Linked DNA regions of Saccharomyces cerevisiae S288C. Changing the gene in region 2 together with the main gene of any one other region gives a genetic interaction. Each region holds a gene or a part of one and is shown on either strand. Other genes may lie near its edges. The genes, in order: SIC1, REV1, RAD54 and RAD5.

The links.
Region 1: mutations in REV1 (region 2) and SIC1 together harm fitness more than expected from each alone (negative genetic interaction), as found in Saccharomyces cerevisiae (4 studies listed by BioGRID, with this or other methods).
Region 3: mutations in REV1 (region 2) and RAD54 together harm fitness more than expected from each alone (negative genetic interaction), as found in Saccharomyces cerevisiae (6 studies listed by BioGRID, with this or other methods).
Region 4: mutations in REV1 (region 2) and RAD5 impair growth when combined (synthetic growth defect), as found in Saccharomyces cerevisiae (5 studies listed by BioGRID, with this or other methods).

The regions. Positions count from the first base shown.
Region 1 is NC_001144.5:284,944-288,194, forward strand, and holds SIC1 (cyclin-dependent protein serine/threonine kinase inhibiting protein SIC1), read left to right. Parts: upstream 1-1,876; coding exon 1,877-2,731; downstream 2,732-3,251. Other genes in the region: FMP25 (Fmp25p), read left to right, coding at 1-680; BOS1 (Bos1p), read right to left, coding at 793-1,524, 1,614-1,616; EMP46 (Emp46p), read left to right, coding at 2,973-3,251. UniProt on the Saccharomyces cerevisiae protein: Substrate and inhibitor of the cyclin-dependent protein kinase CDC28. Its activity could be important for faithful segregation of chromosomes to daughter cells. It acts in response to a signal from a post-start checkpoint.
Region 2 is NC_001147.6:980,083-985,319, reverse strand, and holds REV1 (deoxycytidyl transferase), read right to left. Parts: upstream 3,493-5,237; coding exon 535-3,492; downstream 1-534. Other genes in the region: pyruvate kinase PYK2, read left to right, coding at 1-378. UniProt on the Saccharomyces cerevisiae protein: Deoxycytidyl transferase involved in DNA repair. Transfers a dCMP residue from dCTP to the 3'-end of a DNA primer in a template-dependent reaction.
Region 3 is NC_001139.9:193,161-198,296, forward strand, and holds RAD54 (DNA-dependent ATPase RAD54), read right to left. Parts: upstream 3,244-5,136; coding exon 547-3,243; downstream 1-546. Other genes in the region: YRB30 (Yrb30p), read right to left, coding at 1-140; SUT1 (Sut1p), read left to right, coding at 4,978-5,136. UniProt on the Saccharomyces cerevisiae protein: Plays an essential role in homologous recombination (HR) which is a major pathway for repairing DNA double-strand breaks (DSBs), single-stranded DNA (ssDNA) gaps, and stalled or collapsed replication forks.
Region 4 is NC_001144.5:202,977-209,014, reverse strand, and holds RAD5 (DNA helicase RAD5), read right to left. Parts: upstream 4,025-6,038; coding exon 515-4,024; downstream 1-514. Other genes in the region: RSC58 (Rsc58p), read right to left, coding at 1-254; YLR031W (uncharacterized protein), read right to left, coding at 4,230-4,790; YLR030W (uncharacterized protein), read right to left, coding at 4,934-5,725. UniProt on the Saccharomyces cerevisiae protein: Probable helicase, member of the UBC2/RAD6 epistasis group. Functions with the DNA repair protein RAD18 in error-free postreplication DNA repair.

The DNA.
Region 1 (3,251 bases), on a different chromosome or scaffold from region 2:
TGAACAAATTTAAGCATGAAGGAGAAGACGTTGTCCGCAAAAGAGAAATTAAAAAGATAGCTTGCGGGTCGTACCATACACTGGCAATAGATAAGACTGGTGAAATTTATGCCTTTGGCTGGAATAGGTTCGGCCAATTGGCACTACCTATTTCGTACAATCTAGAATATGTTTCTTTCCCAAGATCGGTAACGCATGCATTTAAACCGCATTTCCCGGGGATGACGAATTGGAAATGTGTGGATATTCATTGTGATGATGAAACATCGTTTGTGACCATTCGTAAGCCTGGCTCAACGTCAGACCATCATTATTTCGCGTTTGGTAATGGACTTTTTGGTGAATTGGGCAACAACACTTTCAAGAACTCGCAATGTGATCCCATAAAAATCAAGTCGGATGACAAGAAATTGACCAACTGGAGTTGCGGCTCTCATTGTGTGTTCACTGAAACTGAACAAGAAAACGAGGTCATTGCATGGGGTAATAACGACCATGGCCAACTAGGTATTGGAAAGAAAACTATGAAATGCGCTAAGCCAATGAACATTCCCGAAGTTCTCAAACCAGGACAAGACACGACAGATTTGGACTCAATTTATAACAGTAAATTACACTTAAAAAAGGAGCAACGTGTAGTCACCAATGGTAATAAAAGTTGCTTATACTGGCGGGTTTGAGAAACGAAAGAGCATAGAAGGAAAGTAGCGAGATTCGCGATGTTTTTTCAACCCTTATAATGATGCATGTATATATGGTATGTTTATTTATATATAGAACTCACGGTTACTTCTATCTTAACCATTTCAACACATAATAAATACCTATGATCAAGAGAATTAACGCGATCCAAAAGACTAGTTTATCTTTGAACACCCGTTTATTGATAGAGGTGATAGTTTGTTCCGAAACACCCAATGTTCTTAGGCCATTTGACATTCTATCTTGTACCTTGGATAAAATTTTGTTTTGTTCCACTATATTTTCGAATGATTGTTGGCCCATTTCTAGAATGTAATCTAATTGAGCGTTACCCCTTTCGAAAACAGACTGTTCCTTTTGTAGCCCTTGGTACAACGGTAGTCCCCCACCGTTGCTAGAGCCCTCTTTACCATTTGCACTCGCACCACCAACGTTCCTTTTATTCATGATGGTCTCTGATGTACTAAAGGGGTTATCGGAGTCCATAACATGCGATGCTCCTGAGCCAAACAACTGAGTTCTGGAATTATTTTCGTTGTAGGATTGTTTTAAATCCTTAAACTTGGCAGTAAAGTCGTGCAGATCCTGTGTTAAAGTTGCTAGTCGATTAGCGAACTTAGGATCAATTTCCTCTGCATTAGTATCTTCTTTATATCTGTTTAAATGTTCTGCATATTGCTTAACTGTTTTCTCCAGTGAGACCAGAGTTGCAGAGATGGACCCTTGTAAAGAAATAGGGGCGGTCACAGAATTCTTTTCAAACCTGGCCAACTCTTGTTGTAGTTGATTTTTTTGCTTCACAGCATGGTTGTAAAGAGCGTTCTATTTGATGGTAGTAGCAAAATACCCTGTTAGTATTACATCTTGTTTTAGCAATAATGAGAAAAGATGCCTCCGGCGATCAAACATACCATTCCCCCCTCAAATCAATATGATTAAGTCACGATAATATCTGCACTATTGCCGTGTTTCCTTCTCCATCGACAGCGTCGATCCTGTCTATTATAGCCAGCACACTGAAAATTTCAATGGCTGGCTTGTTGTTCGCGTCGCAACTTTTGATATTTATAAAAAGAGAGAAGGCATATCCAAAGGATAAGGTATTGTCTTTGTAAATCAATCAACCAAACCTCTACGGAATTTTGACCCTTGAAGCAGGGACTATTACACGAAAATGACTCCTTCCACCCCACCAAGGTCCAGAGGGACTAGGTACCTTGCGCAGCCTAGTGGCAATACTAGTTCTAGTGCCCTAATGCAAGGTCAAAAGACCCCCCAAAAGCCTTCACAGAACCTAGTCCCTGTCACTCCCTCAACAACTAAGTCTTTTAAAAATGCGCCATTATTAGCACCTCCCAATTCGAACATGGGTATGACCTCTCCATTTAATGGGCTTACGTCTCCTCAACGCTCGCCGTTTCCAAAATCTTCAGTGAAGAGGACACTATTCCAATTTGAAAGTCATGATAATGGAACAGTAAGGGAAGAGCAGGAACCATTGGGTCGTGTAAATAGGATATTGTTTCCCACGCAGCAAAATGTGGATATAGATGCAGCAGAAGAAGAAGAAGAAGGAGAAGTTCTTCTTCCCCCCAGCAGACCTACATCTGCCAGGCAGTTACATTTATCACTTGAAAGAGATGAGTTTGATCAGACACATAGAAAGAAGATTATTAAAGATGTACCTGGTACGCCCAGCGACAAGGTGATAACATTTGAATTGGCAAAAAATTGGAACAACAACTCTCCGAAAAATGACGCCAGGAGTCAAGAAAGTGAAGACGAGGAAGACATCATCATCAATCCAGTGCGGGTGGGTAAAAATCCCTTTGCATCAGATGAACTGGTCACTCAGGAAATTAGAAATGAACGTAAAAGGGCAATGTTGAGAGAAAACCCAGATATAGAAGACGTAATAACATATGTCAATAAGAAGGGAGAGGTGGTAGAGAAACGAAGGTTAACGGATGAAGAAAAGAGAAGATTCAAGCCAAAGGCATTGTTTCAATCTAGGGATCAAGAGCATTGAAGAAATGAAAAAAAAAAGTTTCTGGAACGATTATATTTTATTTACTTACTTATTCTACATTTATTTGCAAAGGGGCATTAACATCAACATTTTACATATTATAATATATACAGGATATTCTATATTACAACATTAACAGGATTTTTAACTTTTCCTTACCGTATTCTTTTATTCTGGTTTTCTGTCTTCAGAATAATAGCATATTTCATTGTAGTATTTCGTCAAAGCGAGTTAGGGGAGGATGACTACAAGAAAGACAGCTTCCTCTCTTCAGCTTTTAGGGAAAATCACAGGAACAAAAGCTGGAACTAAGCAAAAGAAGATGAATTTCATTAATGGACTGATATGGTTATATATGTGTGTGTGGATGGTACACGGAAAAGTGACGCAGAAGGATGAATTGAAATGGAATAAAGGATACTCGCTACCAAATTTGCTAGAAGTGACAGATCAGCAAAAAGAACTTTCACAATGGACTTTGGGTGACAAAGTAAAACTTGAAGAAGGGAGGTTTGTTTTA
Region 2 (5,237 bases):
GAAACTGTAGCAGCTGCAGCTACCGCAGCAATCTTGGAGCAAGATGGTAAGGCCATCGTTGTATTATCTACTACAGGGAACACGGCAAGGCTACTGTCGAAGTATAGACCAAGCTGCCCTATCATATTAGTAACAAGACACGCAAGAACGGCAAGAATTGCGCATTTGTATAGAGGTGTTTTCCCATTTCTGTATGAACCGAAACGCCTAGACGACTGGGGTGAGGATGTTCATAGGCGCCTAAAGTTTGGTGTTGAAATGGCGAGGTCTTTCGGAATGGTGGACAACGGTGATACTGTTGTTTCCATTCAAGGATTCAAAGGAGGAGTCGGCCATTCCAATACCTTACGCATTTCTACTGTTGGTCAAGAATTCTAGTAAAAATTAAAGTCCTTATTTTTTTTACTTAATTTTATTTAATTGTCCATTGTGTCAGTTATTTTTTTTTTCTTTGGTAATAATCATGCAGATATTACAGGTAATGTTCGCAAACTGCGTGTTTACTGTATGCTGAAATGTTTTTTTTTTTTTAATTCAAACTTCAAAGTCCATGTCAAGTTTACGCACAGTCTGGTAAGTATGTTTATTTCTGTTTAAAAGTGGAATTATATCATTGAGTAAAATTCTTTCCCACGTTTGGAAGCCTGAATGATCCTGATTTAAAAAGGCGCAGAGATTTAATTCCCTTGATATTAGGTTTGATAAATGAAGAACTAAATGGACTCTATTAGAATCGCAAAGTTTAATCAAATATTTCACGAATAATTTAACATCTTTTTCATGCGGCCCTCCATCACCTAAAGTTTCGGCAACCCATTGTTTCACTAATTGACAAATTTTTTTGAACCGTGTCAGATTTTGGAATTTGATCGGCTGGAATATACTATTTTGGCCCATGAAATGATTTTTCTCGTTCTGTAGGCTCTCTTCTCTCCTTTTTATCTTTTCTTGTAGGTTTCCTAACTTTGTCTGTTGGATTTTTTTCTGAATTCTCAAGTCGTGCCTTACTTCTGCTCGAATTTGGGTTGGTAGTTCATTCATAAACTGTTCTTCCATAGTACTGGGCAAATCATTTACTTCTAATCTGGAAATGGCAAATCCTTTTTTTTTAGAGCTCAATGAGTTTGAAGTCAACCCGGATTCTTTTCTCTTATAATTTCTTTTCTCGAACTCGTTGTTAATGTCATTTTTTACATCTTCCGGTAAGGCTTCGAAAGCTCTGTTCGTCACTATTGTTTTAAACGGTAACCTCAGTTTCAGCTGATTGTTATCCGGACCCACATCAACCAATTTGTTGAATTGTAGAGCAAGACCTCTTAATTCCATTGGAGGGCAGCCCAAAGTTCGATACAAACTTTTCATTTCGGTAGCAATAATTCCAAATTCGTTTGTTGGAATACCTAATCTGCTGCTCCGACTGAATGAGTCGCACCTTCCCATCCCCATATATTTTGGGGGTTCAATTGGAGCGTCTTTACATCTTCTCATCAGTTTTAATGTGATTTGTGACGTTGTTTTGTTTATTTCATTCAATTTTTCTAAAAGATACTGACAACCTCTTTCTATGAACAAGTCTACCTGAGTGATATTTTTAAATCTGATTCCCCAATTGATATCAATTGATAATGATTTTCTTTGTAAGACTTCTTTGGGATCGTACAGTATTTTCAAGCTTTCTTCATCATCTTGGCCTTGTAACGCGAGATGAATCTTCATACCTAACTTAGAGCCGACGCTCGCCTTCAAAGCATCTAAAGTATATCTTTTTCTCAAGTCATTTAAAGAATGTGGGCTATCAAACGTTGATTCTAACCTTGACAGAGTAGAATGCCCAACTCCAGGCAGATCATCTAGTTTGAAACTAGACCAGAATTCTTCAGATAGGTTACTCTTAAACGTGATATTGTAACCATTTGGTTTCGCCATTTTGAGAGCTAGTCTTGCTAACACAAGAGAATCGGAACATCCAATGCTCACTGTGCAACCATTCGTTCCTTGAAAAATTTCTTGGCGTATTTCTTCGCACAGTCTTGCATTTAAGGTATTAGTGTTATGAATATTATCAGGGATTATCCTCACACAAACAGCTTCATCAATAGATATAGGTAAAATCAAATTGAATATGTTCAATCTTTTGAGAGTACTGTAAAAGGCTTCCGATTTTAATTGAAATTGCTCAAAGGTATATGGTAATGATATTAGTTTGATCCCATTTGGCAACATCTTTTCAGCTTGAGACACCCACATTCCATTTTTAATCCCATATGACCTTGCTACATAATTGCAACTAGCTATATCGGAGTTTTTAGTACCATGGCATACCACTATAGGATCCCGTTTAAAATCACATGCTGAGAAACTAGAACTTCTACATAGATACGCAACAGTTGCAAAAAAACAGTCAAAATCGATATGAAAGATAATGTAGGTATCCTTATCCGTAATTTTGGTGTACTTGTGGATGTTTTCATTCAGAAATTTATCTTTCAGATTGGCCTTCCATGCGGAGAGATGATGTAATCTCGAATGAGCAAAATAGGAAGTAAGGAAATCAGGATCATCACAAGCGACTATCCTTTTCGCCTCCAAATTATTGAGATTTACTGGTGACTGCTGTTCTACTGGCAACAATGCCGACCCTACACATTTAGATCCTTTGTGCAGGCTAGTCTCTGAGGGCAATGGAATTGAATTTACGGTTTTACAATTATCTAGTTTTTTTTGCTGTTCATCAAGTTTAGATGTTAACGAGTAATTTTGCCAGGGCAATAATCTTGCTTCTTTGACGCTATCAACTATCCAATCCGGACTGACTACTTTGTAATTTGCAAATTCAATCCTTTTCTTTAATGGTAAATTGGAAGCCACTATGTGAGTAACCGTTTTCTTTGAAGACAAATAGTGTAAAAATTTTCCGCCATGTAAAACTATCATCTCGTGTAATTGCAGTCTTCCAGGTTTGGTGTAGCCATTTATATAGATGACGCAATTTTTGAATATTTTACTGCTTTGACTAGAAATTTGATCTTTATATTGATCTTTTAATATTTGATCTTGCAGGGTTTGTCCGTGCGCCTTCTCGTGGAAATAAGCCTCCCTAGTATACACAGTATTTTTTTTAACATCATCACCATTGCTATCACTTTCCTGGATCTCGATGACGCTACGAGCTATAGGTGAATCTTCGCCACCGCCAAGATCAGCATGTAATTCATCACAGCTAATATTTTTAGTAGTAAATCTTAAAGTACCTGCAGTTGGATTAGAATTATTCTTATTAGTTTGGGAGAGTTGGTTGACATATTCAATTAAGGAATCATCGCTTAACGTAGATAGAAAAGACCTTGCATTCAAGCCGCCGGTCTTTGCTGTTAAATGTGAATCATTGACACTTTGCTGGCTAAGGCAATTGTTTTTATCAGGTGTTTCCCTATTTATAGAGTATTCCAAATCGCTGTCCAATAAATCTACAAGACCACCATGTTCACCCATCGCTGGATATGCCTAGAAATGCAGTATCGATTTATTTTGAGAAAATCTGTCAACTCGTTACTTCTTTGATAGGGAAATCTTTAGTTAAATTTGTTTAAAATTAAGAACCAGGTCTTTAGACTATGCCAAAAGGTATTGGTGCTTAAAGGTTGCCGTAAACTCTAACTCTATATATCTCTAAGCCAATGTTTAAGTTGATGCGATGTGCATGATCACTTCACATTTTTTTCATGATTTTGTTTTCTTCCTTAGCTACTTTTTTCCGTCTTGGTCTGTGTAAAAAAAAAATCGCTTCACTGAAGAAAAATATAAATAAAAAAAGGACATCAGCAAGTTCGTAGTCAATAAATGTGATGAGTAATTTGCGATAATCTACCCCAACTCAAAGCATTCAATTCAAATGAAAGAAGAGTTCGTGAATTTTAATCTGGCTTACAGATTGGATCATAGCTTCTAATATATCTTCCTTTTTATTTTAAAGTGATTAAAATATGTGGATGTCTGCATTAAGGTGAAGGCAGACTATAGTGAAAAATAGTAGCAAAGGCTTCATATAATGAACTACCTAGTTGTATTCAATTGGAATCTGTGAACGCGGCATTAAAAGAATATTTGAGCTTTTTTTGATTGTATTAACCTGAAGCTATCACGGTTTAGACTCATTAAAAGAAAAATATCCGGTTGTATCGGATAACAACACCGCTGTAGTAGCACAGTTTTTTGATCATAGTTTCATTATTTTTTTAAATATGCTTGTATACAGTAATCTAGTTTTGGACGGATTATTCATGTCAGTAAGATTTTACTATCTACTTTAAAATTATCGAAACAGATATCAACTATACATCCACTCATTATTGGCATAGCGAAATAAAATTTATGAATAGGAAGGATATAAAACGAAAATTGAAATCGTTTAGTATTATATGAAACTATTAGTCTTTTCGTTTTCGTCGTCATACTTACATTCTTCTTTTATAAATATTGTTGTGCCTAAGAAACAAAATTAAGTAACTGTCTAAAACGAAGTTGCAAAAAAAGGGGCGAGCTGGGAATTGAACCCAGGGCCTCTCGCATGCTTTGTTCCTCCTGTTTGATCAGGGGGATCGCCCAAAGCGAGAATCATTCCACTAGACCACACGCCCATACAATTTGTGATTTCTCAAAGTTCAAGATGAAGTATTATAATTTTATATTCATTTTCCTCAGTCCCAAAAACGAATGGTTGAAGAGAACTGTTGGAATAAAAATCCACTATCGTCTATCAACTAATAGTTATACTATCAATATATTATCATATACGGTGTTAAGATGATGACACAAGTTATGAGAAGCTGTCATCGAAGTTAGAGGAAGCTGAAGTGCAAGGATTGATAATGTAATAGGATAATGAAACATATAAAACGGAATGAGGAATAATCGTAATATTGGTATATAGAAATATAGATTCCATTATGGGGATTCCTAGACCCTCGAGGAGAACTTCTAGTATATTCTGTATACCTAATATTATAGCCTTTATCAACAATGGAATCCCAACAATTATCTCAACATTCACCCATTTCTCAAGAACATTGTTGAAATGTAGCGCAATAAGTGGTGATTGATACCAACGTTTGCTGCTACGTTAGCAACCTAAACGCTTACACCAAATGTTTAAATTAGTATACTTTTCGAAAATTCGGTGGATATTAGAATAATTTTTAAGATCCTATTGATGATTAAAGCTATAATTGGGTAAAATA
Region 3 (5,136 bases), on a different chromosome or scaffold from region 2:
ATTCTTCTAGCATCATCCTTAGGAATCTGGACGACAAAGTTCGTTATTGTCTTTAGCGCATATGTGGATGCTATCGATATTCCGGATTTTATAGCAAATGTAACGGCTTGTGAACCTGCTTTGGCAAGAATTTCATCCATTCTCTTCAGATATTGGTGTTAGGTAATAGTTAAAGTTAATCCTTCTGAGAGTGTGAAACTGTATCAGATTTTTATTTCCCTGACAGCGTGAGATTTTCTTGCCATAATCTTTTTTGGCAGTTTCGGCTGGCACTTTACCACGATAAAACTGAAGATAATGAAAAATTTAAAAGCTAGCACAAGTATAATATGACATCGCTCAACTTTTTTTACCCTTAAGTTATACGATTATACTTTTTTGATTGAAATACATAGAGATATTTACCAATTTGGCCCCAATTTTCAATTGTTTATTACGTCTAAATATATATAACCATGCCCATCATTTAAAATAAATATGTAATGACCCCCCGACGATCGAATTCTACTTTTTGTTTTTGTTTTATAAGTACATGTATGTAAGAGATCAATGTGAAATATATTGAAATGCAAAACTGATATCATTGTAATGATGCTCGTTTTTTAGTAGATGATCATTTGTTTTTTCCAATGCGTCATGGTTCAAATGATTCCAAGTTGTCGCATCACCATATAACATTGCAGGGGCTCTCTTTAATTGTTTACCCTGAGCATTACAACGTTTACAATGGTATGTTTCGTGTGTTTCACATATCGTATTCTCATTTTTTTGAAACAACTGTCTTAAATTGTCAGAACTAAACAACCTTTCAACGTCTTCTTTCGCATCGACCACGCATGAACTCAAACTCATTTTCATAGATTGTCTTTGAAAGATTTTTTCCTCTATGGTACCAGTCGATATGAATCTGTAAATGAAACAATCCTTTTTTTGACCGTCTCTCCAAACACGTGCCAAAGCTTGTTGATCAGCAGCAGGATTCCAATCCGGATCCATCAAAATTAATCGATTTGCACCAATCAAATTGATACCACACCCACCTGCTTTAGAACTTAAGAGGAAGATGAACTCTTGGCCTTCAGGATCGTTGAACCTATCCACCAATTTTTGTCTTTTGTTAATTGACATTGTACCATCCAACCGTACAGCACTGTAGTGCTTATATCTACACATTTTTTCAATGAGGTCCAAGGTTTGGGTATAGTTGGAGATCAAAACAATCTTATCATCGGATTCGGTCTTTATCTTATGGAGAAATCTTTCCAAAATGGAAAATTTAGCTGAATATTTTGTTTGTACGTCCCTGGCTTTTGAACCCGGCATATTATAATCGTCAGGTAGTTCCAAATCATCTTCATCGTCAAATTCATCTTCAAAATTCAAGAGATTAGGGTGATTACATAGCTTCTTTAAAATACCAATAGCCCTCAGGGGCTGAGACCCACCAACACCTTTTACTACTTTTTTCACTTCTCTTGACTTAATTAATTTATTGTAGAGCTCGTTCTGCAACGGCTTCAAGTTTACGAAAATAACGTGCTCATACTTGCAAGGCAAATATTTGGCCAAAATATCGTTAGTACGACGGATAATAAATTTGGAGACAATGGTAGATAGCTTCTGTAATTGCGCCTCGCCCTTTGTGATTTCTTTATCAGTAGCATCAGCATCACGCCCTCGCAAAATTGGATTCTCAAAATTTTTCCTAAATTCTGCTCTGGAACCTAATAAGCCAGGATTCGAAAAACTCAGTAGAGCAAAATATTCGGAAAGATCGTTTTGAATGGGTGTACCAGATAATATAACTCTTCTAGGACAACTGATGCTATCCAAAGCTGTGAATGTTAAAGAGTCACCGTTTTTCAAACGGTGCCCTTCATCTGCCAGCATTAAACCCACATTGCAGTTTTTCAATTGATCAACATTTCGACGTAATGTTTCATACGATATGATTAAAACGGGCTTAACAATATTTCTTCCCTGTGCCTGAGCCCAGGCATGAATAGCTTGCGAAACTGTTGTATTACCACCACCCATTGAAGATTTTTTCCCATCAACCGCTAACGGAGTTAGAGTATTGGGACCCAACCATTTTATCAATTCATTAGCCCAGTTGTTGACTAAAGAAGATGGACAAACAATGATACATTTGTCGATAAGTCTTTTACCCTGCGGGCCCTGTCTTAATAATGTCCACATAAGTGCTATACACTGCAATGTCTTACCCAGCCCCATTTCATCGGCCATGATGCAGCCGTAGGCCCCTCTATTGTTTTGTTCAGTCTTTTGAGATTCAGTAAGTGCCTTCTCGTCGCTCTTTAAGGGATCTTCGCTTGAAGTGTTGAACGCCTCAGCTTCTAAGTAATCTTTCATGACAAGCCCTGTGACACAACGGTATAAGAATCTCACCCCTTCGACTTGATGGGGTCTTAAAATCTTGGCCAGTTTTGGATCAATAACCACAGGGACACTAGCAAATTTCTTCTTGTTTTCCGCAGAGTTTTCCGAATCACCGAGTAGCTCACGTAACGGTTTGTTTCTCACACCATTTGTCATCAAAGCTGGATGGCGTCCTATTCTTTGTGTGGGTCTTTCTTCCTGGCTATTCTTTTCCTTGTTAATATTATCCTTTTCCTGTGTGCTTTTGATCATTTTCTTTGATTCTTCTTCCTTGTTATCCATAGATGTGTCATGGACAATCATTTCACCGTCAACGGACGGGTCATAAAGCACTATGGCAAATTCGTCTGTAGGGTCATGTAGAGGTCGAGGTTCTGGAGTAATTTTTTTTTTCATTCCTAACGTTAATGGCAGACTGTGTCTTTGTACATATCCCTTGATTGGCACAGTGAAAGATCTTCTCAAAGTGTACTGGATATGACTCAGTCTTGTCGGATCCTTGGCCAACCTTTGAGCACTAAGAGCATCCTTCCGTCGTTTAGTCAACTGAGAAAAACTTATGTCTTGGCTGTTGTACTCTGCTTCGTCCGCATTTATATCCAAGCCGGAATAACATACAGTCGCTGATCTTTTCCTCAAGCTCCTTCCTCCTACGATATTATCAGACCCGGTGGCGATTCTACCAGCAGCGGGCGGGATGTGCGTGTTCTTGTACGGGACCCTGAACGGTTTCGTTAGTCGGTTCACCGAGTCTTGTACGTTAATAGGCCTAGGTACCAGTCTCGGCCGTTCACCGGCTCCTATTCCATTTGGTGGTCTGTCTGGTAATCTGCGTCTTGCCATCAGTTATAAGGAAATATATATGGTACCTTGAAATAGAGCTAAGTTCTGAGCGTTTGATTTTTCTATACTTTCGTAGCAGCTTTAGTGAAGAAAGAGAAAAGTTGCTGCTCTAGATTTTGTATCGGCTATTACGTCAAGTGAGAAGAGTTTTGGCCTTCGCTTCAGTTAGATCTTCTATTATTTCCTTTTTTTTCTTTTTGTTTGTAATTGTTTTTTATTTTTTTTTTTGCGCGAAACTTTGCTATATTGGGTAACGCGTAAAATACTTTTTATTATTGCAGTAAGGCGGAAGGGTCTTCCCCTTTGCATGTTAAATAGCATACATGGCACCACTCAGGTCCAGAACGTGACACATCTTTGCACCACTTGTGTATTTTCAAGATGTTAAATTTTTGATACATAAGCTTTATCATGCAGGTGCAGTAGACGCATTTGCGTACGCGTTGAGTAGTAATGCAAGAACGCAACAATTTCACGCTTTCTACTTAAGAGGACAGATCTTCGAGCAGAATATTTTTCTCCTAGCGCGGCTTTCAGAATCTTCTTACCATCTGCAGGACATCACATGCAAGCACATGAAGCTGGAACCACGCACCATTAAATGTAAACCTACAGACATAGCTAGCACAGAAATGCTACTTTGGAAACCTCGGTTGCATCGGCTGACCTCGGCTGTTCAGCAACGTGAGCTGGTTGTTGTTATTGTTCATAGAATCCTGTATTTTACCAGTGTAGCTTTGTCCGCCCACCCCACGCTTTTGGCCACTAGTATGTACGTATATGCGTGGGCTCTATATCATTGAAAACGAATTTTCCACGCAAAACCCACTTCACACCATAAAGGCCTTATGACGATGTACATTCTTCCCCTCCCCCCTCCTCCCGAAGGAACCCTTATAGTGATCCTAATACGGTATAACGTAAACCGGAGTTGTCAGCAGAGAGAAGCGAATAATATGTTTTGCGTGGGGTTCCCACGAGCGGCAGGAACCGTAGCGCATTGAAAAATGAATCATCGATCATCTTTGGGTTTCAAGGGTTCGGACTTCGCCAAAGGTCCGAATACTTCCACCAGTATTTCTCTTTTTCCCTTTCCAGTCTCGTTCTTCGCCGAATCCCCGCTTTCCCATCATGATCGTTTCTCTGTTTCTCTCTTTCCGGAACAGGCTCTTTTCTGACCGCCAGTTCGTGCGGTTAGTTCTGTGGATCTTGCAGGCACTTGCCGGTTTAGCCACACTTCTCCGCTGTTTGTGTCGAATTTCCCTCGAGTATGAGAAAGACTGGACCACAAAAGAGGGAAAAAAAATGGGCCGATTTTAAACCATTATAGGTCACAGAAAAACTTTCTTACGACGGTGGTTTTTCAACAATACGTTTCTTGAGCAGGAGAGGAGCTTTGTTCTTTTGCCTTAGTTTTTTTTGTCTTTTTTTGTGAGCCATCCTGCTGTCGTTGCCATACATGACAGATCCACATTTGCCTTGTTGTTTTTAGTTTTTGTTCCTTGCACCATATAAAAGCGTCACTTGTATTTTCCTTACTCATCTAAACTTCAAGCTTTTTCGTCATAGTAGGTTTGTGATCTCGGCAAAGAAAAAAAATTTTTTTGCCGATCTTTCTGGTTATTGTTTCAGGTATCTTTATGAAAGTATTAGTGTACGCACTGGATTTTTGGTAGGTCTATAAAAGTGCAACACATAATCTAAATCATTGAGGTCATCGTATGTCAAAAGAAGATGTCCACAAGCATTACAGTAAGAAATAGAGATCGATCGCTACCACCGCTATTGCTCCCCAATGTTTCCCTGCTAGAAAAAGATATACGGCGTAAAGGCACCCAAAATGTGGGCATCACCGATCCAGAACTCTTGTCGACCACTTGGACGAGGAAGCGG
Region 4 (6,038 bases), on a different chromosome or scaffold from region 2:
TACTCTCCATTTTCAAACCTCTTATTGATAGTTGTCAAAACTAATTTATCTTCATTACGTATCAAACCTTCAGAGTTACTTCTATTTTTAATGAATTTACAATATGATTCATATATCTTATCCGGATTTTTCTCAAAGAACTTGGCTGGAAAACTTTCATCTACTACATGACATTTCACAGAGGCAGCATTCAAAATGGATTGAACATTTACCAAAAAATCTACTAGTTTATTTCCACCTACACTTTCTGTCATAATGAAAACTTTCGATTTTCAAAATTATCTCTTATTTGATCCCGACTGATGATGATTTTCTTCGTCTTCGTATTTCTATCGTCCATGCCTTATGGCGCTGTTTTATTTTCTTAATTGTTTTTTTAATAATTGCAACTTAAAAATACGGGTAACGGAAAAGGAAGATAATAGAAGTTGCATGAAGTAGCTGAAGAATAATTAGTTCTTTCGGGTTGAAAATAATAATAAATAAAGTCTTTATATATGAGTATGTGGTATGACTATTCAAACAGCATCTGGATTTCTTCAATTCTCCTTTTTCTTCTCTCGTCTTCGTCTGTGTCCATGGCCTCACCGATGGTTCTCTTCTTTTCTTGAATGCGTAGCATTTTTTCTTCTATGCTATCTTGTATGATAAATCTCATAACTTTGACGCTGTTTGTCTGGCCAATTCTATGCAGTCTATCGATTGCCTGATCTTCCATACTGGGCGACCACCATGGGTCCATCATATAAGCGTGGGAAGCACACGTTAGATTCAAACCCACGCCACCAGCCTTCAGCGAGAGTAATAGGATTTTTTGCCTGCTATAGTCTTTAACGGCAAAATCTGCTAATACACTAGTTCTTTCTTTTAATGAGAGACGTCCATCGAATTTATAAATTTTTGCAACATCTTTTGAGAAAGTATGAGTTAGCTCTTTCTCCAGGATATCCAAGTATGTAGAAAATTGGGAAAAAATGACAACTTGTTCGCCTGCCGAACTATCCTGTAGCAATTGAAGCTCCTTCAATAAAGCAGTGATTTTGCTTGATTTGGAGGCTGGTGAATATGGTTTGAATTCCAAATTTTTCGAGTTGCTATTCGTTTGTACCAATGCCAACAACCGACAAGCGTCTATTTGGTTACGGCAATTGGGGCACTTTAAACCCAAATTCTTACTGTTCTGAAACTCAATATATTCAAATAAACATTTCTCACAAAAACTGTGGCCGCATTCTGTAAATAAAGCCTTGTCCAAATCCATAGGTTCCGTTGTGCAGATGGAGCACTCTAAGGACTGAAACGATTTATTGTCTGGATATTTAACTTTTAATCTTTGTATCATTGCATCTAATTCCTCCTTAGAAAATGAGTTATCGAATCTCTCGGAAACAACACGCATTAAAGAGTCAAGCTCCACCGTTTGTTCCGTAACCAATTTATTATTTTTAGATAAATCCTCATCGTTCTCATCTTGACTCCCAATAAGACCGGGATGGCAACAGACTTGCCTCAATCTTAAAATATGGACAAGGATAGTGGAGTACTTTTTCAATAAATCACCGCGTGCAATACCCGATTTAACAGAAACTTCAGCCTTATCCAACAGAAACTTGTATAGAAGATCTTGAGATTTACTGAAGGGAAGTCTTTTAATAACGACCTCCTTTGGTGGCAACTCTACTAATGGCTTACCATCTTTATCTTTCATTTGTTTTGTCCTTCTTAACAATACGGGTTCCAGAATTGCATTCACCACATCAAATGCTTGTTTGTAATTTTTACTCTCAAAAGGCGTTGATACAAAGGTCTTCCAGTAATTAATTTGCCGCCAGGGATCTAACTCTAAAAACTTAACCAGACTGTATAAATCGTCAAGCCTGTTAATAATTGGTGTTCCTGTTAAAACCCATTTACATTTGCCTTGTAAAGCCATGACTGCTTTAGATGTAACTGTCGTTCTGTTTCTAATGTTATGACCCTCGTCGATTATTATGCGATAAAAATTGACAGAAAATAAGCCTGAAGATATATTGACGTCCTCATCTGTCATCCTTCCCTTGGAATGTTTAGTCCATTCATTTTGAACAATACCATATGTAGTAAGGACTACAGTTGGAGGGGTTTTTGTCTTGGTTAATAGGGTTTTCAAACTGGAAACATTCCCACCATAATACACCTCATGATACATATCGGGGGAATTATTAGCTTTTGTAAACTCGTTACTCCACTGCGTTAACAAAGACATTGGGACCACGATTAGCGTTGTTTTTGAAGCATATGGTTTCTTATTATCTTGCCAAGTGCTTGGAAGATTATCTGAGACTGCTGTGTTCTCAATATCAAACAGTTTCTTGTCAACAACATCACTATCGTGAGGACAAGATAAAACTAAAGAATACGCTGCCACTGTTTTACCCAACCCCATTTCATCTGATAATATGCCACCCTTTATCATAGTTTTTAATATAGGTTTTGCTAGCGAAAATTCACCAGAATGTAAGTTCGCATAAAAGAATATGCCATCTTCAACGTTTACATGGTCCTGCTGCAAATTTTGAGCTGCCCACGACATATCATTTGGCCATTTGAACTGCTTCCATAATGGGTTTATCATATTAGCACCCGTTTCTGAAGCCTCACCATCAGAGGCTGCTTTGGCAAACTCTTGCTCCCTCCTTAGCATCCAAGTAAGACCTTGCTTTTGATAATTTCTTAGTTCTAGCTTGAAGACATCGCGAGAAGGTTCTGTTTCAGGCAAACTTTTTAAAGATTCTGATGATTGTGCGGCCTTATAAAATGTTTTCAATTGATTCAAGTTCATTGTTTCTTCTTCGTGCTGAGTATCTCGGAGATTGTTATGGACTTCAGTCACTTGATTAGAGCAAATCTCGTCGTTATCTAAATCAATGATTTCGGGGTCACTATTAAGCTCTATTTTATGCTTTTCTAATGCCTTCTGCTCGTCCAAAATAGGCTTTAGCCTCAATTTATCAAATAACTTTAGTAGAGCCAGTCTTTTCGAGCGGCTTTCTAGCTCTTCATCAGTTTCAGTCAATGTTCTTCCAAAATTTCCATTGTCTTTCTCTCTTTTATTTCCTCCCTCTGTACGTCTTCTTTTCATCAAGGATTCTCCATCATTACGTTCCTCAAAAATGAGAGATGTTAAAAAGCAATCCAATTGTAGAATAAAGCTATCACCTATACTCAACCGTTTATTATCACAAAAAATCAATGTAACTTCAAAACTTATTTCGTGTGAACTTAAAAGAGGGTATAGTATTTGAGCAATGTCTTCCGAAACTCTGCCAATTTCTCTATCATATTGGATATCAAAAATTCTTACCAAACTAGCCATGGACGCTTTCTTTCTACCACGTGAGTCATATACTTTAGTAGCAGAAATCTCTTCACTTGATCTCTTTAGCTTCATCTGAGAGCCGTACTTCAAGGGCCTGACGGTGGGTCTGGTAGCCATACCAGTGACTTGCAAAGCACCTATAAATCTTTTCCAAGTAACTTTATCTTCTAATCGTGTTTGGTTTCTGAACCCGTATATTCTTCTTCTTTTAGGATGGAATGAAGATGGGGACAAGGTTGAATTTGAGGTATCTGAGAGTGTATTTAGTTGATTCGGGGAAGACGGTATTTTGCTGATAGACGTCCCGCTATTGTGATCAAAGTAATGTGATAATGCTAAAGAGAGCCCTTCCTCCTGACTGCCGAATTTTTCATTAAGTTCCATCACAAGATCCTTTGGCATTTCTGGAATAATCCTTAAAAGCTCTGTAATAAACTGATTCTGGCCTTCTTCTTCTATTTCTCGCCTGACTGGCACAATAGATCGGTCTCCCTCTCCTTCTGTTGTATCACTCACTGATACAACAACATCATCATCATCATCATTATGACTATTTGCAAATAAAAACGACTCTTTATTCTCAGATTTGAAGTTTAACGATGTTTCTGAAGTGTCAAGGTCATCGTTAAAAAACCTCTTCCTTTCTTCCTGTTCAATATGACTCATATTGTGATACTGTAAGACTTTAGGTGTGTTTCTAAGGCCTTTTGATAATGTAACTTTGTAGATAATTTACTTTCAAGTGAGCAATGCGCTTAGCAGTAAGGAATAATGTGTGGAAAAGTTAAGGGTTTATGACGCGTAAAATTTTCAGCCAGACGACGCGCCAACTAACATGTAAGAAAGTAATAATTTATGAAAATTTAACTACTTATTGATTACTTAATCTTCTAATACAAGTATTTTTTGTTTCTAGAATAGAATTCAATCTATTTATCCGTGCAGAAAGGTCCAGAATGAGGGGTTTTACTTCATTTTGATTTACAAAGCCTTGCTCTTCTGCAGTTAATCTTTTGGATTTCTCTCTGATTATCTCAGAAAGAAACTCTATTATCACTGAACTTTTCTTTCTTCTCTCATTTTCCAACATCAGAAAAAGCAATTCGTTGTCAGTGTCCTGCGATAAAGTTCTTAACTTTTTCTCCAGGTCTTGTCTTCTTTTGATGGACTCTCGTACCCGAAAGCAAAGATTATTTAGTTTGGCTAATTGAAAATTTCTTTCTTTAATAGCAGCTAGCTCGCCTCCTTGGATTAACTCTGATGCAGATTCAAATTTAGATTCAAAGCTCTTTTCCAAAAACTGTAAAGTGTTCCATTTATCCCTTAAGGGATCATCATGCTTTTCAAATTCAAAGGCATCTAGAACATCAGAAACCTTAGTACCATGAAAGTCGATATTGGGATAAGAAGTTCTCGTATTTAAGACCGGCATAATAGGAGTTACTGGAACTGATGTGTTTACAGATGTAAAACCATCTGTTTCACTCAACTTCTTTTCAAGTTTGTTAATATTATTCTTAGCTTCAGCCTTCCTATGCTTATTTAGTATGTTTTCGAGGCGTATAATCTCAGTGATTAATCTGTTTTGTTCCCTTTGAAGATTTTTTTTTTTTCCTTCATCGAAGCTACCTTTATATTTTGGGCTGCTGAGTCAAACCGTTCTTCGCCAGATTGCAAATCCTCTCTTTCAGTCAAATTACCACACGTACTAATCTCTAAAGGGCTATGTTCATCTTCACCCGGTTTTAACGAAACGAAGCTGTCAGAAGAGCGTTTGTTTTCCGCCAAAGAAGTGTTTTTAAATGAAGAAAGCTCAGAATTGATATTGCCCTGCTCCAACACTTGTATAGGGGGGGTCTCTTCAAAGGAGAACAGGCCATACCTTTTGGAATCTCCTTCAGGACTCTTTTCATGTTCACTAGTCAGGTTTTCTCGGACATTCTGCTCGTTAAGATTATCAACTTCACCCAGGAGGCCTTCTCCCCGGTTACGTGCCTCCGATTTTACGTCACCGATTGACTTTATGCTATTCTTTCGAGACAATGGCCTCTTTTTAAAGAAAGTACTCACTCTCTTGATTAACCCAACAGAATTTTGACACTCTTCATTTGGATGTTCCTCAAAACTTAATCTCTGTTGAGCCACATTTCCTGAATATCTTTGAGTTGAGTACTCTTTATTTTGCCAACAATCATGGATAACCGGATGCTGCGGCAAGTCCATGTCCCGAAAAGTATTAGCTACCAACGTCATCTCGACATGGGGAGCGGGCTTTGTGATCATTTGTTTTGGAATCGAATAATGGATAATCCTTTTTGGAATGATCGGTGTCTCTTGAACATACTCCATAATTTGTTCACCTTCCATCTCATATATTACATATAAGGCCACACACAGACACAAGCTGAAACGAAAATATCTATAAATATACACTTCTTAATTTGTATTCAAGATATTCTTATCAAAGCACTTATTTTTTCATTATATTTCTATATTGATTTAAGGACGGTACGCTATTTTCTTTGTACCTTTTACTATGCATAAAAAAAGGGGAAGTGTTTAACAATCGACACTTACTTAATATGTTTTGCCGCCCTTCATAAGAGGGTGTTTCTAAAATTTATTGGGCAAGAATGAGATGGACTCGCACCCTACATGACGTTTAAATATTTAGTGTTAA